Linked DNA regions of Pelodiscus sinensis. The protein of the gene in region 1 interacts with the protein of each later gene in a pairwise test. Links are inferred from orthologs where the notes say so. Each region holds a gene or a part of one and is shown in the gene's direction. Other genes may lie near its edges.

The links.
Region 2: the proteins of EHD3 (region 1) and MICALL1 interact in binary tests that used the Homo sapiens proteins (3 or more experiments, as listed by UniProt). The link is inferred for Pelodiscus sinensis from reciprocal best matches to the Homo sapiens genes EHD3 and MICALL1.

The regions. Positions count from the first base shown.
Region 1 is NC_134713.1:158,565,299-158,580,626, reverse strand, and holds the start of EHD3 (EH domain-containing protein 3), read left to right. Parts: upstream 1-7,947; 5' UTR 7,948-8,201; intron 8,202-15,328. UniProt on the Homo sapiens protein: ATP- and membrane-binding protein that controls membrane reorganization/tubulation upon ATP hydrolysis. In vitro causes tubulation of endocytic membranes. Binding to phosphatidic acid induces its membrane tubulation activity.
Region 2 is NC_134711.1:92,176,533-92,191,545, reverse strand, and holds the start of MICALL1 (MICAL-like protein 1), read left to right. Parts: upstream 1-7,132; 5' UTR 7,133-7,630; coding exon 7,631-7,776; intron 7,777-15,013. UniProt on the Homo sapiens protein: Lipid-binding protein with higher affinity for phosphatidic acid, a lipid enriched in recycling endosome membranes. On endosome membranes, acts as a downstream effector of Rab proteins recruiting cytosolic proteins to regulate membrane tubulation.

The DNA.
Region 1 (15,328 bases):
TTTCTGTGAGTCAGTGACCCCTGACCCAAAATAGGTTCCCAAACCCTCCCATAAAATAAAGACAATGCTGAAATGTTTGTGTTGGACATATTTTATTTAAAAATGAAGTCTGGCCAACAAGCTCCCAATTGGGGCCAAGCCCCCATCAAGCCGCAACATCAAAACACCCTTGCATCCTCGCACACACCCCAACCCTGAGCCTATCACATCCCCAGTCTTCTGCCACAACACTACTGCCCAATCCACACACTGCAAATCTGTGTCCTGTGCCCATCATACTCCCAACCCCGCTGCCCTGAGCCCCTCATACATCCCAACCTGAACTCCTGCACCCTCACATCCACAAGCCTGTGGGTTTGTTCAGCCCCCCAACCCTCCACTTGACCCTAACACTCTCCAGCATTGACGCCGGCAGAGCTAGTGCAGTGGGGGGGCAGTGGGGCACCCGTCACACCCTCCCACAGTACCTTAAAACCTTCTCCTGAAGGAAAAGTTATCCCATGGAAAGTTTGGTTGTGGTAGGCAGTGTCCAAGTTATTAGAGCACAAACATACAAACATTCTCCTTTATATATTAGATTTTAAATAATTTTTATAACATTTTTTTCTGTTTATTTTTAATTTTAAATTATTAATTGATTTTTTTGTTAAAAGGGGGGTTGGATGATGGTAAAGAAGAGGTGGGGAGGCGTGACGGTTTCTCAAAAATCAAAAGGGGGTGTGATGCCAAAAAATTTGGGAACCACTGCCCTACTGTATAAAATCTATACTCTGATGGAGCTCTGTTCTTACCTCTGTTAACAATAGATCAGGAGGCTTGGTTACACACCACAGCCACTACGCATCTTAGAGGAACCCAAAATACAGTACCAATCTTGGGAGGAATAGAAGCCAGGATAGGCATTAAATTCTGGCTCAAAGGCTAGGAAGTTAAGCAATCTAGGCCATAAGTGATCTGAGCTCCAGGAACCCTTTTCCAATTCATTAAACTCCTTGTTTAGTATAAGTTTGATAGTGCTTAATTCCTGGTATGTAACTCAAGGTATCAGTCACTTAATTCCTAGAATGTCGTTAAAGTGGTCCAGGCCTTAGAGAAGTTAAGCTAGATTCTTCTGAGACTATTTCTTGTATCCAATATTGCTCTTTTACAAGTCGCAATGCACGGTACAGTCAGGGAGGGACATAGTGGCGTCATAGCAACAGAAATAAAACAAGCCATCATGAATCAAGTAAGTCCACTTGAACGAGATCATCAGTTCTGGAGAATATTACACTTTGCCTATGATACATATATGAAAACTTTGCAGTATGTCAGTCTTACAGCTAGGGAAGGACTTCTGAGAATACTGAGTGATACCTTCGGGAATGTACGTGACTCATCTTATCATAGTTCCCCAGGGCATATCACTCTGGGGAGCATACTCCACAGAAGAACACCATTGTGTAGTGGGAGACTTGTACCAGTGGTATCCTCAGGCAGAATCCCTTTGTCATACAAACATCTGTATATGATCACATCTATTGCAAATGTCACTATAGCTTCATAGCTCATGCTACTAACCTCTCTGAAGTGCTTATAGCCAAACCTGGATGTGTGTGCATCAGGAGTTGGTACTACATCTGTACTATAAAACAGGTCTACATCAATGTCTAGTCTAAAGAAGTTAGTTTGTTGTGTTTAGGCTTTATTTTACATAGATGGGATAGTAAGTTTAGTTCCCAAGCATGGCATGCCCACAATATAACCTTAATTTATCAATTTTATAAGTATTTAGATCCAATTCATTTGGACATGAATTAAAGACTTCTCCGTCAGCTTTTGGTGCACATGGAGCTGGCGGCTAACTTAAACCAACTCCAAAAGCAAGGCTGAATGCTAGGGGCAACAATTCACCAATCACTAGCCACTATCATGAAAATACCCGCTAGACTACGGAAAACAGTTATGTTTTCATACTGATGCCAACAGTTGTTTTCCTTACCAGGGGAAACATCCAGCCTAAGGGAATGGGCTTTCCAACCATTAATCATTATGGCTCTTGTGGAAATAGGTATTGTTATTCTGATCATTATGCTCCTCATTTGTATTCACTGGTTTGATTTATCAGGTGAGCCACAATTTGAGAAAACGGTGGGATGTGAGCAAGTTTCACCATGCAATCCCAGGTGTAATGCCAACAAGAAATGGAAACTTAAATGCTGCCCCTCTCAAATTATGAAAATAACTCGTGAAGTTTGGGCTAAAGGGAATGTTTATGAAGGCAGCCATGTTGGATGGGTTGTGAGAGCAAAGGGTCTCCATGATGGAGAAGCTTCTTCTCTCTACCTGTAAGGGAAGGTGGGAAGACAGTGTAAAAAGAAAAGAAAAAAGAAAAAAGAAAAAAAAAAGGGGGGGCTGGCTGTTGTTTAGCAACCAGAGATTACAAACACAGTGTGGCGCAATAGGTAGGAGCTGGCATGCTCTCCTTGCACGCTCTTGGGAGTGGAGGAGGGACCAGGGTCATTAACTCGCTCTCCAATGTTGAGTCATACTCCAGTCAATTGGCCTACCTGACTATTTCTTTGACCACAATGGGAAGATATCAGGGAACCCTCAAGCTTGCTGTTTTGAGGAAAACATGCGTTCATTCACAAATCCTCCAAGTAGTTAGGACTAACTCACCTGCAGGATGACGCAAAGCGGAGAGGGTTGGGTATCAGTTAGGGCACGATACTTTCCTAATAACCCTGGTCAGTGCCTCCTCCTCGTGCGCCAATTCTGTCTCTGCAGCTTGAACCCTGACTTCCTGCCGACACCTGGAGAAAAGTAGGGGAAGCATCTTTCTTCGTCCTCTTTTATTTGTAAAAATGTCTGGTTTGTGTGCTGTAACAGCTGCTCTCCCAGGGTGTATCTAGACTACAGGGTTTTTTCGAAAAAACTGTACCTTCGTCTAGACTACTGCTGCGTTCTGTTGACAGTAAATCAAAGGAACGCGGTGGTTTTGTCAATGGCGGTAAACCTCATTCTACGAGGAATAACGCCTTTTTTCAAAAGTCATCTTTCGAAAAAAGGCACTATTGCATGAAAACAGGGCTTTTTCGAAAGAGAGCATCAAGACTCTCTTTTGAAAAAGCGAGCTGCTTTTTCAAAAAATCGTCTTGTTGTCTAGATGCTCTTTTTCAAAAGAGGCTTTTTCGAAAGATACTGTTTTGAAATAGGCATGTAGTCTAGATGTAACCCCACAGAGTTAATCCTCCCTGTCTCTTCCCTTCCTCCCCTCACTTAGGTCCCTTCCAGTCCTATGATTCTATGAAACCATGATGGACCTGACTGACCTTGGTTTAGCTTGTGAAAAGCAAGACAACCACAAAACCAGACTATGGAGCAAAAGAATCCAGCCACTCAAAAACAGCTGGATAGATATTAGAATGGCTTTGCAGATGTACAGTTCATGAATAGTAGAGACAACCAGTAGAAGAAATTGCACCTTTTTAACCAGAACTATGTTGATTTCTTCAGACTTATCTCATTTAAAAAAATAGAGAAAAAATGCACAAACATTTTTGAAATTGGAAAATTGTGAAAAAAATCAACATGCTGTTTCAAACATTTTCAGTTGAGATGCAAATGCTTTAAAGGTTTTTGTTTTACTTTTACTTCTACACTATCTCAAGTAACTAAGGAAGAAACTGAGGCAAGAAATTTGACCTGCAAAAAATACAATAACAAGGTAATTTTCTGCCACAATGAATATATGTGCAGAACAGGTAATCACCATCGGGATTGTGAACTATCCAACTTCCATGATCCATTTGGAGATCAGCTGGAAGAACTACTTGTTTAAGTAAGTCAGATCATAAAAAGAAATCAACCAGAGATGACAAAATATTTAACCAATGGGGGAAAAACATATTTATTCTAAAATATTTAGTATCTTGGGGTATGTCTACACTACAGCGCTAATTCGAACTAACTTAGTTCGAATTAGTTAATTCGAACTAAGCTAATTCGAACTAACGCATCCAGACTAAAAAACTAGTTCGAATTAGCGTTTTGCTAATTCAAACTAGCATGTCCACATTAAGTGGACCCTGAACCGGGGTTAAGGATGGCCGGAAGAAGTGCCGACAGGGCATCAGATGAGAACTTAGAGCGTGGAGCTGCTGCCTCAGGCTAGCCAAGGGCTGTACTTAAAGGGACCCGACCCCCACCCCCCGGACAGACAGTTCTCAGGGGTGCCCTGCTTGCAAAGCAGTCCTGTCTTGGAGTGCCCTGAGTGCCCACACTGGGCACATCACAGCACTCGGCCATCAGACCGGCTGCACTTGCCGCAGGCTGCCATCTGGGGAGAGCGGGCAATTGGGGGGCTGCAGGAGAGCTTCCACCCCCAGAAGCCCACAAAGCCAGCCCAGTCCTCCCCATCGGGGGCTCATACCCCATTTCTCCCTCACCTCCTTCCACTTACCCTTCCCTAGCCCCCCTTCCTGATGTACAAAATAAAGAAAATGTGTGTTCAAAAATAGAATCTCTCCTTATTGAACAAAACTGGGGGAGACTGGGAAAAGGAGGTGGGAGAGGGGAAGAGAGAGGGTGGGAGAGGGGAGGACAACTAAAATGATCAGAGGTTTGGAACAGGTCCCATATGAAGAGAGGCTAAAGAGACTGGGACTTTTCAGTTTAAAAAAGAGGAGACTGAGGGGGGATAGGATAGAGGTCTATAAAAGCATGAGTAGGGTGGAGAGGGTGCATCAAGAAAAGTTCTTCATTAGTTCCCATAATAGAAGGACTAGAGGACACCAAAGGAAAGGAATGGGTAGCAGGCTTCAAACTAGTAACAGAAAGTTGTTCTTCACAAAGCAAAGAGTCAACCTGTGGAACTCCTTGCTGCAGGAGGCTGTGAAGGCTACAACTAGAACAGAGTTAAAAGAGAAGTGAGATAAAGTGATGGAGGTTGGGTCCATGGAGTGGTATTAGCCAGGGGGTAGGAGTGGTGTCCCTGCCCAAAGTTTGTGGAAGGCTGGAGAGGGATGGCACGAGACAAATGGTTTGGTCACTGTCTTCGGTCCATCCCCTCCAGGGTCCCTAGGGTTGGCCGCTGTCGGCAGACAGGCTACTGGGCTAGATGGACCTTTGGTCTGACCCAGTACGGCCATTGTAAGCTCAGGGCTCAGGGTCGGGGGTCTCAGTGGACCACCTTGATTTTCATGCACACCTGCTCCTGGACGGCAAGGCTGGCAGCTCTCCTGCCCTAGACGGCCACTTTCCTGTGCCTAGTGCGGAGGTCGTGGACGAGGTCCATGATGTCCGCACTAGACCAGGCGGGTGCCCGCCTCTTGCGGTTCTGGGCAAGCTCCCGGGAGCCGCCAGCCTGGTCCCGGGAAGAGGGGGAGGACTGGGGGGCATCGGGTGGCTGGCTCGAGCCGTGCCTGGTGCAGGGTCTGCCAGCTGGGTGCTGGCAGGCTTGCACCTGGCACGGGCATCGTAGCCAGCCCATGCCCCTTTAAGGGGTCCAGGGCCGGGAGGGGGGCAATAGAGTTTCCCTGGTGTTGGCCAGAGTGGCCACCAGGGAAAGCTGGAGAGGGCTAGCCTCCCACTAGTTCAAATTAAGGGGCTACACACCCCTTAATTCGAACTAGTAAATTCAAACTAGGCTTAGTCCTCGTAGAATAAGGTTTACCTAGTTCGAACTAAGCGCTCCGCTAGTTCGAATTAAGTTCGAACTAGCGGAGCACTAGTGTAGCTCCTATCAAAGTTAATTCGAACTAACGTCTGTTAGTTCGAATTAACTTTGTAGTGTAGACATACCCTTAGAGATAATGGAACCATCAAATGTAGCTCTTTTATATTCTTCATGAAAGAATGCTACAACAGAAATAAGTGAATACAAATATAAGGGTGATCTTGGCCTATTGGCTTCAGTGGGACAGAATTTCACTCCAATCTTACAAAATGATCCCACTTTCACAAGAAGTTATCTCTATGAAATCTCTTGTAGTTTCTGTGATTACAATAAACACTAGCACTGGTGGTCATACACTATCATTGCCATTCTAAGGTGACTCTTCACTGGAGACTACTAGAAAAGGAAAACCACATTTAAGAGCCTGAAAACCCTATTATCCCTTACTTGTTCATTCTTATTCAAATGCAAAGACTGTGTTTTGTATCAAATGGCCAACACAGAGGACCACTTTCATCCCAGTCAGTCTTCAGCAGATATAAATTGACTGACTGCCTTTCATGCAGAGTTGGAATTGTTTATGCAAAACAAATTTGGTTGCAAGATTCTTGAATGCAGCTTGAGTTTGGTCGGGGTATTTTCACTATCAAGTGTGTGTTATATGGACCACCCAGCACCAGGTAGAAGGTGCCAGAGCTTCTGACTTGCTGGGAGCTGTTCAAAAATGCCTCCTGACAGCGTTCTTAGTGAAGGATTTAAGGCTTGCCTTCAATACCATGCTACATCTGCCAACATAGCACATTTAGAGAAATGCTCTGTTAATGAAAGAGCGCTCTCCCTTTCCACCAACTTCATACCACACAACAGATATACTAACTCAAGAACCAAACCCTGCAACAAAACCTGTTGCCAACTCCGTCCACACCATCATAGGACCTAACAACAACAGCTATACCAACAGGGGCTCATTCACCTGCATATCTACTAATGTGATATATGCCACCATGTGCCCACAATGCCCCTCTGCCACGTGCCTTGGCCAAACCGGACTGCCCGTATGCAAAAGCATAAATGCACACAAATCAGACATCAAAAACAACTACATTCAAAAACCCATAGGAGAGCACTTTAACCTTTCTCAACACTCAGTAATAGACTTGAAAGTTGCCATACTTGACCAAAATAACTTCAAAAACAGACTGCAGCATGAAAATTCAGAGCTGGAATTCATATGCAAACTTGACATTATTAGGCTGGGGCTAAAAAGAGAATGGTCAGGTGAGCTGACAGCCTCTGTGGGCCTCTGGGCAAGGTGAGAGGTGGGCCAGCTCTGCACTTCTGGAAGAGACGGGGCCTCAAGTGGAAGGGGCGGCGGTAGACGCAGTCAGCCCTGTATGTTTCCTGGAGCATGGAGTACCTCCTCGCAGAGCCATATGAAGAATGCTGCACAGTGTTCCGGCAGTGATTTAAAGAGCCCAGGTCTTCAGCTGCTGCCACAACTACCCTCTTTGTCCCCATCAGCAGGCCTGATTATGGGAGTGGTTAGTTCACTGCAAAAAGTAATTTTCCCTCTTTTGATATTCACACCTTCTCATCAACTGTTGGGAATGGGCTGCATCCACCCTCGCCAAACTGACCTCGTTAGCTGGTCCTCCGCATAGTAATGCTACACTCCCATCTTTGCATGTGTATATATATCCCTGCCACACATCTGATGGTGTGGGCTCCAGCCCATGAAAGCTTATGCCCAAATAAATTTGCTAGACTTTAAGGCACCCCTGAGTCCTCATTGTATTTTGCTGAAACAGACGAATACAGCTATCCCTCTGAAACGTGTCATCTTCCCTCAGTTATCATGACTTCCTAATTCTCACAGAAACAAATGGAGATGACTGGTAATTTGCTTGTCTTTTCTACTTAGATTATGAATGATTCAGGGCAGCGACAGTTGTTAGAGGGTGTGACAGGCTGTCACTGACCCGGGGGCGGGACGGCCGGAGCCCCCGCCGGCAGGGGGCTGGCAGCCAGGTACGGATCCCCCAGTACTTCCCCAACGCGAACCGGAGGGGGCGGTGGACTGGGGCACTACCCCCGCGCCTGTGCCGGCGACGTGAGCACGGCCCGTCCCCCGAGGCCCCGCACGGCGAGGGCGGGGCGGAGGGACACGGCTACCAGGCAGGGCCACACGCCGGGACGTGCCCGGAAGGGGCGGAGCCCTGGGTGGCGGCCGGCGCGGCGGGCCGATTTAAAAGGGCCCGCCGCCAACGGGGCAGGGGGCAAGCTCCTCGCAGCGGCGGAGGGGCGGCCCCTGCCACAGGACGGAGCCCAAGCGCCACGCCGCCCGGCTGTCGGCCCGGCGTTGGTCCCGAGGCCTCCGGGACAGCCACTGCCCCTGGCAATCGGTCAGCCCCTCTTCAGACGGCGGACGGACCCCGCCGTGCCGGACCAGGAGGGAACGGGACAGCCAGGGCCGAACCGGGACCAGAGAACCCGCCCCAGAGACCTCGCTCGGACACCGGACGCCACGGACCGCCGAACCAGGGTAGGTTCAGGGGCACCGGGCGTGATCCGCAGGAGGCACCCGGAGGGAGGAAGGAGCCCGGGGCAGGGCGCTTTTGGCGACCGTGGGTGGACGAGCTTAGGAGGGAGTGAATCCTCCCTTCCCCCATTCACCGCGCCGGGGCACTAGCAAGCCCCGGCGCCCAGGGCCCCGGGCTGGGACCCGGAAAAGGGGCGGGACCGGGTCCCCTTCCCTCCCCTGTAGGAACAACCCACTCCCAACGACCCTAGCAAGGAGAACTACGATGCGGACCCCGCAGAGAGGGGAAACCCCGACCAGGGGCCGGCGCCCCACTCCGCCTGGACGGGTAACTATCATAAGGTTCGCTGACCCCCCCTTTCCCCTGGGAGGGGGTGATCGCACCCAGGACAGGGGCCCCCTAGCAGGGACCCGGGACCCAACAAGGGATCAAGAAGGGGTCAGAGGGTTCGCAGACCCCCCCTCTCCCGCGGAGAGGGGGTGATCGCACCCCCGAACTCCTACAGAGGGCTTATCCCTTCACCCTTCTACTTCCCTGGTCCTTTTAATGTCAACAGAGAACAGCAATACCCAAGACTGGAGATGCAAAAACTTCCATGTTTACTGGGGTTAGCTTTCAGCAAGCATGATTTCAGTTTTCTTTCTTTTTCCCCTTGTTTTTCTCCTCTCTCATTTCCTGTTTGTTCCTAATATATTTAGCAATAATTTCAGGTCTACCTTAACCAATCATTCTACTGAAATTTAACTAACAAATCTTAACATATTGAAATGTGATTATCTAACCAATTATATCCCACCACCTTAGTTGGTTTACACCCAGCAAAATTAATTATTCAGGAGACACAAACAATCAAAGAACCAGTCAGAACCATACAAATAAACAATAGAGAAATGGGAAACATAATAATAAAGCAATACAAATTGCAAATTTTGCAACCCCAAATATTAATAAGTCCTCGCCAAATAGAAAGCTATCAACCCACTGGCTAAAAATGTGCCAAAACTGGTTTCCCAGCTTATGGATGCCTCGGTTTCTTAACCTAAACCAGTTTGAAAATAAGGTCTTAGGCCATCATATACAAATACTGTGATTTTAATTATTTGGTTTTATACCTCTGTAGGAAAACACCTAAATTCTTACAGTATAGGCCGTAAAAGGCAGGCCTGAATATCTATATCCTAACAATAGTCTCTTATGTTTGGATGATTTTAGCAAAGCCAATACAGAAAAAATAATTAACAATAATTCAGACTCTGTAGACATGCCCAGTGTTTGAAGAGGCAATGGAAAATCAGCTCTCTGACTTCTAGAGCAGTGGCTTTCAACCTTTATTTCAACCAAATAAAAGATTTGCAGACCCCCTAAACAATTTTAAATGTTGGTGCAGCCCCTACTGGAAATATTAGCTGTAGTCTGCAGATGCCCATGGGTTCATGGGCCACAGGCTGAAAACTATTGTCCTACTGCAGTGGTCTCCAATCTTTTTAAGCACAAGATCACGTTTTGAATTTTAAATGCAATATAAGATCTACCTCAAACCCAAATACCTTGCCTCACCTACTTCATGTCCCTTCTCTGAGGCCCTGTCCCTGCTCACTCCATCCTCCCTCCCTTCCCCATCTTCCCTCCCTTTCACCAGGCAGAGGCAGCAGGTTGCGGCACAAACTCTGGTCTTGGGCTAAGGGATCTGGAGTGTGAGGGGGCTCTGCGCTGAGTCTGGGGCAGGGAGTTGGGGTGCTGAAGGGAGTTTAGGGTGTAGTCTTTGGGAGGGAGTTTAGGTTCATGACTAGGGCAGGGGTTCAGAGCTGGCTCCAGCTGGACGCTGCTTACCTCAGGTGGCTCCTGGGTGGTGGTGCAGTGGGGCTAAGGCAGGCTTACCGCTGCCCAGCCCTTGCATCACTCCCAAAGGCAGCCAGTAAACTCCCTCCATCCTAAGCTCTGTTGTGCTCCCTAGCTCTGTTCTGTGGAGATAGGATACAGGATGGGAGAAGGGGCACCCTGACAACAGCACTCCTCCTGTCCCTTCCCTGCTCTGTGCCACAAGCAGGAGTCTTGGGGCGGAGGGAGCTTCAAGGCAAAGGGCAGGAGGTGCACAGCAGTGGGGAGAAGGGCAGCTGAAGTGCTAATCTTGATAATAGCCTCTTGGCCAAACTAGTGAAGATCACCTGTCAGAAGCTCCACGATCTACCAGTAGATCCCGATCTACTGGTTGGTGACCACTGTCCTATTGGATAGTACACTGCATAATCACTGGAGCAACAGCAGAACCTCTTCACATTTCTGACCTTTATTCCCAGTTATTCTCACTGAAATAGGAGGTCGCTGTGTATCTGCAGTGTCCGCCATGGAGCAACTTCGGATTTAAACTGGCTTCCGTGAAAGGAGAATCAGGCCACCAAAAATCTGTTGGATTTGTCTTTTCTAATCAAATTTCCATGCTACAGTTGGTGGAAATACAAATGTGACTTTGTGAAGACTGTGCAAAATTAAATCTCTCTTCTATCAAGGTGCACATTTTCTTTCCCTGTCTGAAACAATGTACAACCAAAGAAAAAACTAGATCTTTTGGAACAAATTATTTCTGTTTTCAATACACCAACCTGCAAAGAGTATTCAAGTTCCGGGGGGGGGGGGAAGCGGGGGGAGGAAAAAGCAGAGCTGAACATACATAATATGTTGTGGTGCTTAATACCTTATGCAATATAGCAGGCTTCAACCAGCATGGGACAGATTCTGCCATTATAGTTACTGTTCATTAAAATTAAATGGAATTGTTGACAATAATTATTTGTTACGGAAGTGTGTTGTAAAAGAGAACGTGGCAAATCATATATATAGTAGCCCAGTGTCTGCCCTCTGGGCAGCCCATGATGCATGGGAAGTGCGGGGCCCAAACGGCCACTTGCTCCCCCACGGTGGCCTGGCTGAGCGGCACAGAAGTCAGCCGAGTGCCACGGCGGGAGGCGAAGGGGGGCGGTACGGTGACATGTGGCGTGACAGTGGCTCCAGGCCCCGCCCCCTGGCTCTGAACATCACCACCCCGCCCCCCTTCGCCTCTTACCATGGCGCTCAGCTGACTTCTGTGCTGCTCAGCCAGGCTGCCGCATGGGAGCAAGTGGCGCAAGCAACCATTTGGGCTCCACGTTCCTCATGCAGCACAGGGAGTGTGGAGCCCAAACGGCCGTTTGGGCTCCACAGACCCCCGAGTAAGAGGCAGGAGGGGGAGAAGAAGAGAAAGAGAGAGACAGAGAGAGAAGCAGGAGGCAGAGGAGAGCTGAGAGAGTGAGAGAGAGAGAGAGAGAGAGAGAGTGGGAGGCAGTAGGAGGAGAGAGAGAGACTGGAGGCTCAGGAGAGAAGACCGATGTGGAGGAGAGACCTGAAAATCCCGTCTTATGATGGGCTAATTGGCAAGTATAAAAAGGATAGGATGTAAGCTCACATAAGCTCTCAGCCTGCATACAGATGTCATGGTAATGGCAACATAGGTTTGCCTAAAGAAGAAACAAACACAAATTGTTTGCCAAAATTCAAACTGAATCTTTTCAGTAAAAGTCTGAAAAGTTTGAAAGTTTTCCTTTGCCTGTCATCTTTGCTAGATCTGCACTTTCGAGTCCACCCCTCTTGCCACTAAAGTCAATGGGAACTCTATCACTAATATAAATGAAACCAGGAGCAGCTTGTGCCCAATTCCAGACAGGGCCAAAACTGGAGATGTTGAACCTCGAAGGTTGCTAGGTATCCAGTATTCAACCGGACAGTCCATTTTTTGCCCCCTCTGTCCAGTAAAAAAAATCCAGAAAATACCAGACATGTGCAATGTCCGGTATTTTCTGCTTTTCTGGCTGGGCACCTGACAGAAACTTGGCATGGGTGGGAGGAGTGGCCGGGGAGGCAGGGCCGTGATTGGCGCTGGGAGCCCTCAGCTCAGCTGGTTGCATGCAGAAGCCTGGTGAGGTGGGTGTGGTGGCTAGAGACGTGTGGCTGGAGACGTGGGGCTCCTAGCACCGATCGCGGCCCTGCCTCCCCAGCCACTCCCTCTGCCTCTGCCAGGCTTCCGCACGCAACCAGCTGAGGGCTCCCAGTGGGAATAGGGAATTAGCCCCGTCCTCTTTGGGAAGTGTAAATTACTTCACCCCTTTTCATCAGACAGTCTGCCCTCTGCTCAGAGCCCAGCCAGACATTCTGGCCCAGGAGTGGGGGTAGAGTACGGCTCCTTCCACTTTCTGGTCACAGATTTTCAGGCATATAATCCACTTCTTCTCATGGCCAGAATATGGGACAGGCTTGAATCCCCCTTTATTCCCCTCCACAGCTGAAAAAAGGCTCTGAGAGGCTAGCTCAGCCTGGCAATAGGATTGCCAGGTGGGAGCCTTCAGCTGGTTGCATGCTGGGAGGTTCAGGGAGTCAGAATATATGATGTAAACTGTTGAATGTTTATAATAAAGTCCCCATTCAGTGTTAAGCATAGTTGTGGTGGGTTTTGTTTGTTTGTTTGTTTGTTTGTTTGTTTGTTTTGCTCAACAAATTTTTAGCACGTTTGTTCGGTATTTATGTATTTATGGTTTTTGTTGGGGTATTTTTGCTTGACAAATTTTTAGCACGCGTGTTCAGTATTTCTGGGAATCCATCTGACAAACCCATGAACCTCTGCTTCTATTGAAGCAATGGCAAAACTCCAGTCAACTTCAGGAAATTGGCAGGAATTTCACTCTGTGAAATCAAAATGTTTTGTAACCAAAAGTTATTTCCTCTCTGTCATACATGTACACTGGTTTGGTGAAGTGTGGTCATAGCACAGGCATATACAGATTTTTTTGCCATCTGTGGACTGCTGGTACTGTGGTTTTATTAAAGGTTGTTTTGCATTAAAAACATTGAAAGGGAAAAAGTTGCTCAGATTATGGGCCAACCAGCTATAAATGTCCTATTTAATAATATTTAGTTATTACTGTAAGAGTGTAGATTAAAATAGTCAAAGTGGGACACCTCATTCTTAATTTAGGTATCTAAATAAAAGGTGCCCACTTTTCAGGAGGGGCCACAGGGCATGTAATGCTTCGAAGACACTTCAGCCAGAGAAAGGTTGTTTGACATCACTGGAAATCAGTCAGAGGCTAAATGTGGAGCTAGGTACCAACCTCTAGGCATGTAGTTTGAAAATATTTGCCATGATTTTCTTCTACCAATGCCAGCCACATATATGGCAGACAGGGTGGATTAATATAGTTCATATTTTAACCGCGCTGTTCTATGCCTAGTAATGTTACACATAACTAAAGAAAAACAATAGGTTTGCTAACATGGCTAAAATGCCAATGAACTATACTACTCAGCTGGCAGGTGTAGTGATTGCTGACATAAAAATGAAACCCACCACAATACAAGCTCCCTTGCGGGCACTTTTCACAAAGACATCAGAGCCTAAAGAGGCAACAGAGACTGCACTACCTTCTCCGCCCCAGAGTTCAGGTGAGGACTGAGGTACATTTTGGGGGCAGTATGACAGATCACAACATATCCTCTCTCTCCCTCTCTCATAGATATACTAGAAGATTTACCTGGCATTGCTCAGATCCTTAACTCAATTTTTGTTTTTTGGAAAATAAAATGAAAAAGTACATGCTTCATTGAAATCATTGCTGTGGGGTGGGCCTGGGGATGAGGGGTTCAGTATGCAGACTGCCCCAGGGAGAGAGGATTACCCCAGCCCTCTCTCACAGCAGCAGCTTGAGGACCGGTTGAGAGGTGCCTCTCCACAGTCACTGCAGCTCTCAAAGGAACAGTGGTGGGGAAGGGTGCATGTTCCCAGCTAAGTCCAGGTTCATCTGCCGTCTGCACTCCCCAGCCAGAGTGAGGAATGCAGCAAACTGCACTGTTCCCTCACTTGCTGCCCCCTGTGGTCATTCTGGAGTATAACGGTCTTGGCTATCACAGCCCTGCATTTCCGTTTGATGAGAAACAATCACATTCTATGCACATCCCATTTTCCTGACACAACCAAACTCTGACTTTGCTTTAAGTTATGATGAGAGGAAGCTGCACACCACTTGGTGGTCCTAGCTCTTACCATTTAGGAGTTCTTGAACAAACACTCACAGATGGAAGGACAGACAGACACACAAACTCCTTCAAATATATAGGAGATATATAAAAGTCTCAGAGGGGTAGCCATGTTAGTCTGTCACTTTAAAAAAACCTTAAAAAATAACAAATGGTCCTGTAGCATCTTAGAAACTAACCAAAAAATATAGATAGACCATGAGCTTTCATGGGCACAACCCACTTCTTCAGATGAAAAATATGGAGCAAGAGGTTCGGGGGTACAAATATAAAGTAGAAAAAGAGGGGAGAGGAGCAGAGGGAAAAAACCGTCAATTAAAGTGTCTGTGCTAAATGAGACTAATGGAGTGGGCTGTAAGTGCCCAATATTTAGCTTCTGATGTCATTTGGGTTTTGAATATACAGGTAGTCCCCGGGTTACATGGATCCGACTTACATCGGATCCCTACTTACAAACGAGGTGAGGCAACCCCGCACTAGCTGCTTCCCCCCAGCAGACTAGGGAGACGCGAAGCTAGCGCCCTCCTCCCCAGCAGATGAGGGAGACACAGAGCGGCTTTTCTCAGCAGACACCTCAGCTTGAGAATAAAGGACTGAGGGAAGTGAGGTGTGGGAGAATAAAACTGAGCTCTGGAGAAATGTTTGGCTAGAGTTTCCCCTACAATATGTACCAGTTCCAACTTACATACAAATTCAACTTAAGAACAAACCTATAGTCCCTATCTTGTACGTAACCCAGGGGACTGCCTGTAATGGCCTATCCAAGAGATGTCTTTGTTCATTCCTTGGTCAAATGTGTCAGATTTTCATACGAAGACCAGTTCCTCAGACTGTCTCTCTCTCTCTCTCTCTCTCTCTCTCTCTCTCTCTCTCTCTCTCTCTCTCTAGCTGGTTTCCAAAATTACTTTGTAAGAGGATAGCCCTTTTAAAGTATAAAAGGATAGCCTCTTACAAAATAATTTCAGGAACTAGCTAGAAAAAGAGTACCACCAAGAGTTGGTTGTGAATGGGTTTGCCAGTGCTGGTATGAAGAAGGTTGGGAACCACTATGCAACAGGACCATTTGTTA
Region 2 (15,013 bases), on another chromosome or scaffold:
GGTGTCAGTGGGGGTGGAAGAAGGTAGGGGACAGGGTGCTGCTGGGAGAGGGGAGCAGTGGATGCCAGGAGATGAGGGGTTGAAAGGAGGGGTGGGCGTGAGGAAGATGGGATGGAGCAAGTCATGTGTTAGGGCACAGAGAGGCGTGAGGGGAACTGGGGCAGAGGGTGGGCACCAGGGAGAAGGAGGGCAAGGGCAGTGAGGGCAGGTGCTGGTTTGAAGCACCAGGAAGTGTAGGGGTAAGGGAAGGTGCATGTGCCAGGGGTAATGTGGGGGTGAAGCAGAAGGGTAGACACATGGAGGGGTGGGACTGGCGACAGGAGAGAGGCAGGGCAGGTGGGTAGAGGGAGGTGTTAGGAGAGGGGATGGGGAGAGAGAGCTACAGATGATCAGAGTGGGGCTAGAGGAAGAGTGGATACAGGGGGAAGAAAGGTCCCCAAAGGGCTGAGGGGAGTGAGATGGGCAGGAGTCAGGACAGCAGAGGAGGATGAGAGTAGGGGGGGCAGCAGGCACCAGGGGGGCAGATGGGGTGAGGGAAGGGTAGGAGACATGGCATCAGAGTGAAAAGGGAGAGGTTTATAAGATATTTATTAACTCAGGTGCCACAGTGGTATACATCTGAACAAGCGCACATGAACTCAATACTGGTGCACAAGACAAAATTCACTCCTCATGAGAGGAAAATCTTGAGGGGACACTTCCCCCAGCCTCTCCTCCTGAGTTAATGCAATGCAAGTTGGGTTAATACAATTGCAGAATAGTAGCTTACGGGGGGGGGGGGTTCTGTGGGAGCCAAACCCATCCCTATTGGTTGGAGTTCTTAGATGAGTCCCATGACACCCTTTACTTCAGTTTGTGTCCATCTTGACCCTGGGAGTACTCTTAAGGGTACGTCTAGACTACATGCCTCTGTCGCCAGAGGCATGTAGATTAGGCTACCAGACATAGGAAATTGAAGATGCGATTTAAATAATCGCCGCTTCATTTACATTTACGTGGCTGCCGCGCTGAGCTGACAAACAGCTGATCAGCTGTTTGTCTGCTCAGCGCGGCAGCCATGTAAACTTAAATGAAGCGGCGATTATTTAAATCACCGCTTCATTTTACTATGTCTGGTAGCCTAATCTACATGCCTCTGGCGACAGAGGTATGTAGTCTAGACGTACCCTAAGGGTGGGACTGCATGGCAGGGGGTGTGGCTAATGTGTCCCCAAGTTTGTTTCAGTATGGGTACCATAGGCAGGGGCTACTAGTCATGTGGCCTGGGGCTGGAGGAGTTTATATATCTAATTGATCATCCATTCTCTCGCCTATGCTCCTATCTGCAATTTAAACAGCCAATGACTGTTTTTTTTTGCTGGTTTGAGGTAAAAGGGCCTGATGACTTACTAAGAGGGTGGTGTGTGTGTGTTGTGTGGTGTTTTTTTTTTTTTTTTTTTTTTTAAAGGAAGTGGATTCTGTTTGTTTTTACCTCAGGAATGTTAAGTCTGTTCTGATTGGATTTGGGTTTTCTGGAGACTCAGCTGGTGGTCTTGCAGACAGCATGGTATATGAGATCCTCTTTCCCACACATTCACTGGGGGCTGGGGAAATGTTTTGCCAATACCAATTGATAGAGAAGGAAATTTAAAGTAAATCTATGTTTTGACCTGTGCTAATTTCTCTAGTTCTCCAGTCACCAGCTCCTCTCCAAGGCTAGCCAAGATTTGCATATCTGATAGTTCTGCTTTTAAAAAAAAAAAAAAAAATCTTGGGCATTACTTGAATAGGCTAATGAAGCAAAAAAGAGCCAGCCCTATTTTTTTCTGCTTGCAGACAATCTTTAAATAGTTTGAATGAAGCAACAGGTGCAAGGGAAGGACCTTTGGGTGAAGAGAAAGCATGTGCCATATGAACAATTGTTAGTATCCATTCCTGTCTAAGAGGGTCTTTGCAATCAGCTGTTGGTTATTTAACATACTATTTTCTGTTTAGTGTTCTGCAAGAATTAGATTTCATTTTTTCCCCTTATTTGACCGATGGGTGTGTCTAATACAAGGCACTGTCCAAACATAAAATATATTTCCTACCCCCCAAAGAGGTCAGACTCTGAGAAAACAGGCAACCTGGCAAGAGTGGAAGGGGAGAGGGCATCAATCATTTGTACTGATCTTCCTCCTAGCTGCTATTAGTTGGCATTTTCTTGTAGATATCACACTACAAGTGGGTCTTGAGGGATTCAAAGAGGAGATGGTATAGCCCTCATGCCCCAGTATAGGGAGGGTGTACGAATGCATCTGCTGGCTGTGGGGAAAGAGCCAGATGCAGGTACATGAGGCTGGCATTGCTGGACCATGGAACATCTGCCACTAGTAGCAGAGTAAGTAATTATGGCAGTGCACAGTGCCCCTTCTGTGACCATTTGTGCAGAGCATCCAACACTAACATCTTTCTCAAAATGGGCTGAGGTAGAACTGTGGAGTTACTGAGCTACTCTTATTTTTCCAAAAAGTGTAGTGGGAATCTCAATTTCCCTTGGGCCAGCAGCCAACTTCAGTGGACAGCAGCATATTTGTTTCACCATCTCTTCTGCAGAGAGACATCCACCACGGCAGTACCTCTGTTTAGAGTAGCAAACAAATGCAATACCCGTTTTCTGTAAAGCAAGAACTGCCAGTGGCACCCTGCCTACTCCTAATCTGTCACTGGTATGTTAGGATTATAGACACTCTAATTGTACATGTGCTCTTAAACCTTAAATAATTAGTCATATGCATTGTTTTCAGATAGTCAAATATGCCACTTCCTCAGCTTGCATCTGTCAAAAGATTTGCTCATGATGCACATAATGTATCTGTTACTCACTTGCAACCAGTGTGACTGGTTCTGTGCCCTCAGAGAGGAGGCTGCAAAAGGTTAAATGATGGGGGCTGGCTTTGTGGAAACAAGCCAAAGGAACTGCAGTCCTAGCATAACGTGGAAAGATGGACTCAGCCAGACATGGTGCCTGGCACTGTCTGAAACTGGAGAAATGCAGGGCATTCAGCAGCAGAGTCAAACTGTTGGAATGTCACTAATGCTGTTCTGGAAGCGAAGGGGGAGATGGCTTTGTTATAATCCCTACCTTCAGCCTCATTTGACTCTAGCCCACGGTGGCAGTACTGGCCAAAAATCAATAGGCCATCAGCACAGGATCACAGACGGAATACTGGGATAGATCAGTGTTTCTCAACCAGTGGTACGAATACCCTTAGGGGTACTCGAAAGAAGACTGGGGAGGTACATCAACACCACTGAAATTTGGAGAAAATGGAATTTTTGTTTTAAGTTTTACAGCACTTTATTATTTTTGTATTTTTTACACCCAAAAATCGCCCACCCGGCTATGATTAAGTTGTTTAAACAAATGTGTTGCAATGGTAGAAAAAAATGTGTCTGAAAAGTGTAAAAGGTCCTGGGGGTACTTATAATTTTTTTTAAAGTGGTACTTTATTTAAAAAAAAAAAAAAAGTCGAGAAACACTGGGCTAGATGGACCTTTGGCCTGACCCAGCATGGTTGTTTTTATGTTCATTTTTGGCTAATTTATTATTTGCCAAAAAGAACTGGGCAGACTCCATAGAGCTCAGGAACAAGGACTGCAGGCAATTGCTCTGCTTCTCAGCAGTAATAACTGCCTGCAGCAAGAGGTGTCTCAAACTTCACCACCTTCCGCTCCAAGTGTGGAGTCCTCTTTTTTTGATCTGACGTTTACCAATCTAAATATATAATACAGTGTATGTATGCATTTAAAATATCTTCACACCATTTCCTCTTGAGTTGCGGACAAGAGACAGGAAGAGCCATATTTACAAGCTATTAGTCATGTTGCTTAATGCACTACTGGAAGATGTTCATATACCACAGTGATGAAGGCTGTACTAGAGCCAGGACAGAACATCAGGAATCACTTACTAACAGTGTGGTCTATTACACTGTGGAATAGCATCACCAGAAAAGCAAAGGAAGCTTCACTATTTGGTAACATAAAAGGCTTTGGAGAGTTTACTTCAGTTAACTACCTTGCTGGGCTGTGTGGGGGTGATGGAGATGATGTGGTCCAATATGCAGCCCTATGCTCTGAGTATCCCTAGTCTCTGTTTGCCATGCCAGAAACTGGGTGTGGACTACAGGGGAGGGATCATGTGATAATTGCCTGTTCTGTTCATTCCCTCTGAAGTACCTAGCACTGGTGGAAAGTCAGGATACTAGGTAGATGGACCATTGACCTGATCCAGTATGGCTGTTCTTATGTTTATTCCCATCTCGTACTACTTGGCTATGTCTACACTCGCAGCTTCTTGTGCAAGTATGGCCGTTCTTGCGCAAGAACCCGCAGAGCGTCCAAACTGCCTGCCTGCTCTTGCGCAAGGAAATTTACAGTACGGCGTGGTATGAGAGAGCTTCTTGCGCAAGAGCTATGCTCTTTTTTTATCAGGTGTAAGCCCTCTTGCGTAGGAGCTCTTGTGCAAGAGGGCAGTGTGGACACTCAGCAGGGATTTCTTGCACAAGAAAGCCCTATGGCTAAAATGGCCATCAGACCTTTCTTACGCAAGAGAACGTCCACGCTGCCATGGGTGCTCTTGTGCAAAAGCACAGCTTGCACATGGCAGTGTGGACCTTTTCTTGTGCAAGACTTCTTGCACAAGAACTCTTGCGCAAGATGTTCTTGCGCAAGAAGACGCCAGTGTAGACATAGCCGTTGAATGCTGTGGATTAGACAAAATGACAAAAAGCTCATAGCTCCTCATTCCTGAGATTGGTGTGGGCTATACTGAAGGGTTAAGACAGTATAGAGGATGGCCAAGCAACAAAATACTCCTCCTAGCCCCAAAGACTTAAACTGTCTGTCCTCTCACGTTGATGTTTTGAAGGTCAGGAGCCATGTTTAAAGTTTGTTTGGGATCTGTTGGCATTGCTTTGAGGCTGTGTCTACATTGGTATGATCTTGCGCAAATACTCTTTAACGCAAGAGTTCTTGCATTAAAGTATTTGTGCAAGAGAGCGTCTACACTGGCATGTGCCTTTGCGCAAGAGATGTGCTTTTGTGCAAGAGCATCCGTGCCAGTGTAGACGCTCTCTTATGCAAGAAAGCTCCGATGGCCATTTTAGCCATCAGGCTTTCTTGCACAAGAAATTCATGTTGCCTGTCTACACTGGCCTCCTGCGCAAGAACAGTTGCGCAAGAGGGCTTATTCCTGAGTGGGAGCGTCATAGTTCTTGCACAAGAAGCACTGATTTAACACATTAGAACGTCAGTGTTCTTGCGCAAGGACTCCCCGCCAGTGTAGACAGGAAGCATGTTTTTGTGCAAAAGTGGCCACTTTGTCACAAGATCATGCCAATGTAGACACAGCCTGAGTCTGAGGGTTGCATGGCATTCCTTTGATAGAATCCCCAGGCACCTAAAACATCTACCCCAGTCCATGATTGCAAATAAGTTCTGAAACCTCATTGCAGGATCCATAAATTGTCTCCACCAAAGGTAGGGGGTATCCTATACAGTGTGCAGAGGTAGGAATATTACACCTATTCTGTCGTAAGATTTTCCATTGTCAGTCAATGAGTATCCAAGACACCCTATTGGAACTCAGGAGACCTGAGGATGCATTGCCAGCTCTGCCGTTGATCTGCACTGTGACTGTAGGTAAGTCACATCATTTCTCTGAGCCTCCATTTCCCCATCTGTAAAACAAATTACAATACTCACCCTCCTTTGTGAAGTGCTTTCAAATGTTGGGGGAGAAGTACTACAAAAAACCAACCTACTATTAAACTCTGCCCCAAGTACTTTGTTCACATCCTGCCTGTAGGGTATGGGCAATGAAATATTTTCAGCACACCAGAAAGCAGTGGAGGAAGTGCACAGAGCAGGCGCCAATAGATTGCAAAAGGAATTGTGGCTTGCAGTGGTATGCTTTATTAATACTAGGTTGAGAGCAAACCATGCTCAATCAGGACATTCCATTCTGAGGTAGCAAATGCCTAGAGAACTGGAAGAACAGGCCCGAAGCATGGAGGAGGCAGGGCTGGTAGTTGTCTAGGGCAGCAAAATGTTTAATAGCTGGCTGGCTGCAGTCCAGTAAGACTGTGGGAGTTCAGGAGAGTTAGTAGTTTGCTTATGGCAGCAGAATGACTCAGGCTCTGTAGATGTGGGGGAAAGGAGAGACATACTGTATATCCTAGATTTCCAAGCTACCCATTCTCCTCTCCCTCCTTCGGCTCCAAATGCACCACAATATCCCTATTGTTTAGACAGGGTGCCTGTTACGCACAATCCTGCTGTTCTCTCCAGCTGCCTGAGGGAAGGAGCTCAAATTAGGCCATCCATGCCAGACTACTGACTTTGGATGCAAGGTATTGCCCATTTTTCTCCACTGGACTAGTAAGGAGGAAGGGAGAGGGATCTCCAAAACAGCACCAACAAAACACATGCCCTATCACACCCAGTCTGAGTCATACCCTGCTCCGGTCTCTGATTTGGTTGCAGGGTTTCCCCATACTAGACATACATCTCCCCTGCTATCAGATGCCCTCATGTGTGGTTTTAAGTGAGACTGTAAACGCCCTGTGACCGTGACTTTACTGTGTGGTAAGCACCTTGCACCCCATCTGGGGCTGTATACACAATGTAAATAAAATATCCTTATCCGTAACCTGCAGAAGCCTTTCAAACTATGACCGTGAGAGTGCAACTTCATAACTCTGCTAAACACTATCCAATCCGTGGACTGACTGAACAGACACAGTGTATTTAGGATTTATTACAATTTGAAAGCACTAGCCCCCCCTTTTTTCCCCTAGGCCTGTGAGAGGTGTTAGTGGACACCCTACCCTGAATGGTTTCTCACTAGTGCTCACTATTTAACGTCGTTCCACGTGGCTGGGACTAGCTTTCCCAGCCCTCAAGAGCGCCCTACAGGTCCAAAGCGTCCCTCTCTCACCAACAAAAGAGGGGCCAATAAAAGCTATTACCTCGCCCACCTTGTGGCTCTCGTTATTCCTAGTGTCAGACGCGCTGACCCCCCCCCCCCCCCCCCCGTGGCATCTCCATGCGCTAGCTAATACCAGGCAGGGAGCCCCCGTGGCACATACCCTACCTCCCTGGCCGTGCGCGCTGCGAGACTACGGGCGGGCCCAGTCACGGTACCTGCCCTGGGCCAGCTGGACACGAGGCAGCGGGTGGCAATGCGGGCCACTCCTCCTTGCCCCCGGGCACGCCGAGCGCCCATGCGCTGCTCCAGGGCCCCTGACCCGTGCCTGGCTGGGGCCCTCCCCGCCGCGGCTCGGGCTGGGGAAGAGCCGAGCCGGGCTGGGCGGAGGAGCGGCGGGGACAGGTCTGAGCAGAGCCCGGCGCGGGGAGGGAGGCGCAGCCGGCGCCCGCAGGGGTAGGAGGGAGCAGCGAGCCGCGGCGGGGCACGGAGCGCAGCGGAGCCCCGAGATCCCCGCCCTGCAGGCGGAGCCCCCTGCCCGCTGGGGCAGCGCGCCGGGGACAGGAGCCCGCAGGCCGCTGCCGGAACCCGCCCAGGCTCGGGCCGGAGAGCGCGGAGCCCGGCCCGCCTCCCCATGCGGCTCCCCCCGGCGGCGGCGGCCTGAGCCCCGGATCCGCCCCGATGTCGGGTCCCCGAGGCGCCCTGCAGGCCTGGTGCCGCCGCCAGTGCGAGGGCTACCCCGGCGTGGAGATCCGCGACCTCAGCAGCTCCTTCCGCGACGGCCTGGCCTTCTGCGCCATCCTGCACCGGCACCGGCCCGACCTGCTGTGAGTACCAGGCCTGGCCGCGCCGGGCTCGCCTCAGCCCCCACCCGGCCACCGCCGGGGCCGCTCGGGGACTCCGCCCCGGCTCCTTCACGGGGGGCGGAGGCCACACCGGGAGCCTAGGGGACTGGGGGGACCCTGGGAAACGCCCTGGGACAGCGCGCCCAGCTCCTTGGGACAGAGGGAGAGACGCCGGGAGCCCGTCCTCATACCCGCGCTGTAGGGAGGTGCCCCCGAGACCCAGAGTGTAGGGGAGGGAGCCGTGGTGCATCCCTGGGATATAGGAAAGGCGAGGCCACGCGCCTGGGAGCTGGTGCAAGGAGCTCTGGGACCCCTCCTGCCCGTAAAGGGCGTTAAGAAAGTGGGTTTGTTTGTCCTGGGATTTAAGGAGACTGAAGGGCAGCGGGAGACATTAGGTGGGGAGAATAACTAACGAGGAGTGAGGTGGGGTGCTGGGCGACCGGCTCCTGGGCGCACCTCAATCATTTCCTAGGCTGTAAGGGGGGGTTCTTTCACACTTACTGCGTCCGACCAACCCTGTCCCTTGGAATTTAATAGTAACTACACGTTACATGTGACTAGGAACTCTGAGACATGGATCTGAAAACACTTTATCATCCTTATGAGTTAAGCTTCAGAGTCTCCATTAATTATTACTCTGGCTTTGCTGAGGCACAGAGAGATTATTTGACTTGCCCACATTATTCCGTTTGTGGCAGAGTTTGGGAACAGAACCCAGAATTTTTTTGTTCCCAGTCCCCCTGCTAATCATGAGACAAACCACTCTCACATTTGAAAAAAATAAATAGTGAAGGAAAAGTGAGGCTTCGGGAAGGTGCCATAATGCCTTTCTCTGGAACCGTCTCTATCAAATTGTAGAGCAGGGTGTGGAATCTGTTTTGGGTCAGGGGCCACTGACCTACAGAAAAATCAGTAAAGTGCTGCAGCACACAAGTGAAAAGAAAAGCCCAATCTCACTAGTGTGGGCTCCCCAATGCTGGGAGGAGCCCTGAGCCTTAGGGACTGGATCCAGGCAAGCTGGGAGCTGCATCCAGTCCCCAAAGTCTTAGAGGATCGTCTATGGCATTTTTGCATTTATTTTGAAATTTTCCAGAACTGTCTCAGTCAATAAGATTCTTCCTTTAAAAACTTCCAACCGTAGTTTTTAAATGTAGCATATATGGAGCAAAGCACTGGAGAATATGATGTAGGGAACAGTCCTGCACTGGTCACAAATGATAGCCGGACAAAAGTTACCTAATGGGGGGAGGGACAGCTCAGTAGTTTGAGCATTGGCCTGCTAAACCCGGCGTTGTGAGGCTATTTAGGGATTTGGGGCAAAAATTGTCAGGGATGGTACTTGGTCCTGCTGTGAAGGCAGGGGACTGGATTCAATGACCTTCAAGGTCCCTTCCAGTTCTAGGAGATAGGCAATCTCCATTTATTTAAAATTTAAATTTAATTTAGGTGTCCTTTGTAGGTTATTGTGATTCTGTATATTTCAGTGGAAGAGGGTTGTGTTCTGTTTCAGCTTCTTCCTGACCTAATTAAATGCCAGGGAGTAGGGCATACTACTTCAGCAGGGGACTTTTTGATCTTGGGCTAGGGGAAGCTGAACTAGTACAATGCTGTGCTGAATGACAGAAATTAATTAAGAGGACAGAGGAAAATAGCCACTAGGGCTTCCTACCGTGCTAACAGCTTGGAATTTAGTATCCTCTGCACTCCTTTCGCAGAGGGCTCTTGGGTAGAGGGGGGTGGATTAAGAGACAGGTTAATGAGAGGGATGGAAACAGGTGAGTTTGGGAGTGGGCTTGCTGGGGGTGATGATCTTCTCCCAGAGAAACCATATAGGCAGGTGAGATGATTCCTCCTCCTCCCCCCGTAAGCTGCATGCTGTGTACACCTGTCTGTTACAGTCTTTGCTGTGACTAGTGAACTGATGCTCTCCCCTTGTGGTTAGTACATACAGTTCTTCTCACTGTAGACAAGTGTCTGAAATCTGACATATGGCTCTCCATGTTCCTTCCATAACCAAAGCACTTATCTTACCACCCCAGCTGAGGTTGCTTCCCACAATAGGCCAGGAATGTTAACTTGTTTATTTTTGTGAACGTGTAACAGCTGACTTTTTTAGTGGCTACACTTTTACATGCAGGGGGGACAGGTGAGAGCCAGTGTTTTGATAGAGAGGCAGCAGCGTGGTGGGGCACATGGCTCTGCAGGTGCTGGCACACACATGAGCCAGCTTGATACAGAGGCAGCAAGGGGTGTGTGTGTGCCTGTAACTGTTAGGATTATCAGTTAATCATGTCCCAACAAAGATTGGTACCCAATCAGTGTTCCCTCTAATTTTTTCCATTCATGTGCAGAATAAAATTTGTTATGTGCACCAAGGCATGTGAGAATGTGCACTCCTGGTAGAAACATATGCTGCTAGTTGTGGGCACTTTGCTAATCAGCTGGGCGGCATGTGAATCTTTCCTGGGTGGCTACCCAAGCACACAGCTAACAGAGAACACTGTATGCAATTAATAGGAGAAACTGTTTTAATTTTAATGCAGCTGAGGAGCTGCTGCACCCATCCTATTACAGAATGGGCATGTATAGTTAGGAGAAGGTGCTATCTGAACAGAGACCAGCCCTATTGCCTGCATATTTCAGGAGTCAGCTGCACAATGCTCAGAAAACTAAAGAGGCAAACTAAAACAGGGACAAGCATCAGAGGGGTTGCTGTGTTCGTTTGTACCCAACAAGGAGTCCTGTAGCACCTTAAGGACTAAAATTTATTTGGGCATAAGATGTTGGGGGCAAAAGTGGTGCTGATGAAGAGGGTTTTTGCCCACTAAAGCTTATGCCCAAATAAATGTGTTGGTTTTTAAGGTGCCGCAGGGACGAGCAGCAATTCTTACCGTGGTCTGTGCGCGTGTGTTTGGTGTGGGTTTTTTTTTTTTTTTAATCTCAGCTATTGGGGGGCTCAAAAGCAAACCAACTGGGCCAGCATGAAAGTGGGAAACAGTAGGGTTTTGGGTAGCACTGCTAAATCATCAGAAGGTTTCTCATTAAATGGAATTACTATCCCTCTTAAGTATCAGCGAGCTCAAATCTGTTGCCTGGCAGATGTCCTAACTAAGAGCATCTCAGTTAACTGGAGTGAATGGTATTGTAAAGACAAGCCTAGGACCTTACAAGGACATAGCGTGTTAAGGAAGGATTTTTCAAGGGGTAGCCAATGGGCATGCCATCTCAGCTGATTTAAGCCACTTCACCATGTCCTGATTTGGAAACTCAATAATATGGAGCAATAAATCTCTCCGACAGCTGAGAAAAAGCATTCCCCCTGTTCTTTTAAATTGTATTTATAAAGCACCTTCAATCTTTTAGTAATAGGATCTGGCTAGTAATTGTAAATAGCCTTCTGCTGCATGGGCTTCCAGCGTGATGGGCCATTCCAGCTGCTTTCCTTCAACTGTGCTGCTGCACATGCCGATTGCAATAGTATGAACCCAAGAGACCCTGACGTTTTGCCTACACATGCATTCATGTGCTCTCATGTTCCAGCTCCATCAGGGTGTGAAACAGCATATCCATGCAGGTGCTGTGCTCAGGTGGATGGCACTCAGTCATGGAACTCACTCCTTTGTAATAATGCTCCGCCAGCTCTCTGCTCCTCAGGATTTCTTCTCGGTTTGTGTCTATCTCTCTATCCAGTCTATGTAAAACCCCATGGCTATCTATTATCTCTGGACGCTCTTGCTGCATGAGTGTTCAGCCCAAAACAGCTGCTGTGGCAGCAGGTGACATTTACTTGTATTGATAAGTTCTTGTTTGAGAAGAGGGGTGTGATACCTTTTCATGACATTGTGGAGAGACCATACCCCGTCTCTTACCATTGTTGAAATTAAAGCTACTTCCGCTCTTGTTCCACGCTTGAACTCTCCTCAATCCACTCATACCGGCCCCATTCATTTGAAATTGTGCAGATGGAATTTTAATGCTGGGCATAAATACACTATCCTGGAAAGCTTCAGGCAAATGGGCCCAGGCTTTTGGAAGCTCTGAGTGTCTAAAAAAAGTAGTGAGAGCTGCAAGTGCTTAGCCACTCTGCAATTTGGCCTAAGGTAGCTCAAGTTGGGAACCCAAACTCAGTGGCCACTGTTAAAATAGGAACCTGAGCAATTTGCTCCTGGGTACTGTCGTAGATGGGGTTGGGCACAGGAGTGGCAGTCTGGAGATGTGGCTTCTAATCCTGCCTTTGACTCCCACTGGCTTTGTGACCTTGGGGAAGTTGCTCAATTTCTCTGTGCCTTTTCCCTCCATCGGTAAAATGGCAGCAAAGGAAGCAGTTTTGTGGCAGAGTTCTGGACTGAGATTCAGGAGAGGTAGGTTCAATTTGTGGCTTTGCCAGAGACTGTGTGTGACCTTGGGAAAGGCACTTAACTCCCCCCCCCCACCCCATCTGTAAGACTGGACTATAATATATCCAGGCATATTTCACATGGGGGCTGGGAGGATTAATTAGCTGATGCTTAGACTATGTTTTGAAAATCTAAAGCACAAAATGGGTACGTCTAGACTACATGCCTCTGTCGCCAGAGGCATGTAGATTAGGCTACCAGACATAGGAAAATGAAACGGCGATTTAAATAATCGCCGCTTCATTTAAATTTACATGGCTGCCGCGCTGAGCCCACAAACAGCTGATCAGCTGTTTGTCGGCTCAGCGCGATAGTCTGGACACGCGGGTGTCGACATCAAGGTAAGCCTCCTGGGATGAGGTTTACCTGGGTGGTCGACAAATACCTTTGGTGTTGACACCCGCGCGTCCAGACTACAGCGCTGAGCCGACAAACAGCTGATCAGCTGTTTGTCGGCTCAGCGCGGCAGCCATGTAAATTTAAATGAAGCGGCGATTATTTAAATCGCCGTTTCATTTTCCTATGTCTGGTAGCCTAATCTACATGCCTCTGGCGACAGAGGCATGTAGTCTAGACGTACCCTATAAGTACAGTAGACTTCCGATAACCCGGGACCTATGGGACTTAGGTGGTGCTGGAATATCAGATATCCCGGACTAGCAGGAGGTACTATAAGCAGGTTATATATATACTGTATACATTATATACTGTATATAAAGTGTTCTTAACCCTTTTTATTGTACATACTGTATACAGTATACTGTAATGTTTTAGTTTTTTTTAAGCCTTTTTTACCCTTTTTGCTCAGTTCAGCTGCTGCCGCTGTTACCTTGTGACTCATTTTTTGCCGAAGCTCACTCACTAGGCTCTTGCCATTTTGATGCCAGACTATCAGGAGTGCCGGACTATTGGATGTTAGACTATTGGAGTTTTACTGTATTAGTAGGCTCCCCTTGCAGCTATACATGTGGGAGAATGAACATCTCTTCCCCTACCTTGTACTGCTGTCTTGCACAGAGCCTGTGACAGGAGACTTTCAAAGTATAGACACCAAAAGAATAAGATAATGTCTGGCCATGGTATTCTCAGTGGAGAGAGAGAAGCAGACGTGCTGAAAATGAGAGGGAAAGGAGGGACACACCATAGCAACATGATAGCTGACATATTTAGGCTGCCTGGAATCATCAGTTCAAATCCCAGCAGGCTCAACTCCACTATTCTTCTATGAGCGAGGTAGATTTCCATTCTGTTTGCTGTGTGGATTTGTCAGGGAGGGACTTAAAAGCTGAAAGTCTTCCTGCTATGAGTGGCCATTAAGGAGCCCACAACATATTTTGGAAAAAATATTGACAGTTGCTCTAGTGTTTGCTGTATTAAATGCCCCCTGCCTTCCAGTATTTTGTGGGCTTGTTGGCTGCTGCCCTAAGCCACAGAGGCTCCTGCTGCTGCTGTATCTACATAATTGGCAAAGCACTTTGGGCTGAAAGATGCTAGATGCTTGGAAATTATGACTCTTAAGTGTGTTCTGCTTTGTTGGGACTTGCTGAATCAGGGCAACCATTCTACTGGGAAGTCTTCCAGGAAACTGAGGACTGGTAATACAGATGCTTCATTAGGACTTTGTTCCCAAGAATCAGATATCACGGGACTCATTAGGCTGATGCCAAAGTGGTGATACATTTTTAGCCAGGTGCCAGATGCTTGTGAAATTCGAAATTCTGGTATTTCAAATCCAGGAATTGCCAAATAAAGATCAAAGGGTGTGTTTTCCTGGGGGCTTACTGAACCACAGTACCCAAAAGCTCTGCAAGGTCTCATCCCAATCTGTGTTAGTTATTCCCTCCCTGAGTGCTGTTGTGTGCCCCAAGGAGCAGAAGTTGGGCTCCTCAGGGCCCGGTGCCATATTGTGGAGCAGCAAAAGAAGGCATGTGCTGAAACCTACCCACCAGTTGTGTGCTACATTCTCACCATGTAGATCTGAGTGACGAGACCAGGTGGAGCATAGTGTTGGTAGAATTTATTCTCTCTAATCGAAGTTGAGACTCTTCTACGCCTGCCTTACTAGCACAGAAACCAGCACTCCCACTCATTTGGTCACACTCATCATAATCTTTTTTCCACATGCACATCGCAATGCCCTAAGCAGAATGGGCCTGTCTAAATGAAATGGTTTTAGGTTGGCAGAAGAGATTAGGGCTTGGGGTGAAGATATATTTTGTCTGGTTTTGGGTGCTCCTCATTGGCCAGTTCGATGGTTGTTACAAACTCCACCAAAACCAGAGTTCAATTTCCAAGCCAATCATGAACTCAAGGAAAGCTAGGAAATTCAAAGTTAAGGTTATGGTGGAAAGAAAAAAAAAAGCCAAATATAGAAACAGAGTTAAGATGCATCAAATAACCTTAACTCAGACCTTGTATTCACACATACGCCCATTACATGGTGCAAAGCTCAGCATACAGATGTGTCCACATCCCCCTTCTCCCTACCCCATACCCCGGTTACTGCTACCTGCTTGACCAGAGTCTAGCCTCTATCTCCATTAGTCTTTGGTGAGAACACATGTTTTGCCTCGGAACAGAGGAAGTGTATCCTTGCAGTGTGAGAGACTGACCAAGATTTGTTTCCGTTTCTGTCCGACTTCCTGGGCAACCTTGTGAAAAGTCACTGAAGGACTTTCTTCCTTTTTTCATCACACTAAGGAGTCTCTTGTTCTGGAAGTAGTCTTACTGCCTGGCTTTACACTAAGCTTTGTAGCAAAATTAAACTGGAGGTAGGCAGGATGAGGACATTTTGTTTAGTGTAAACACAACCATTAAGAAGA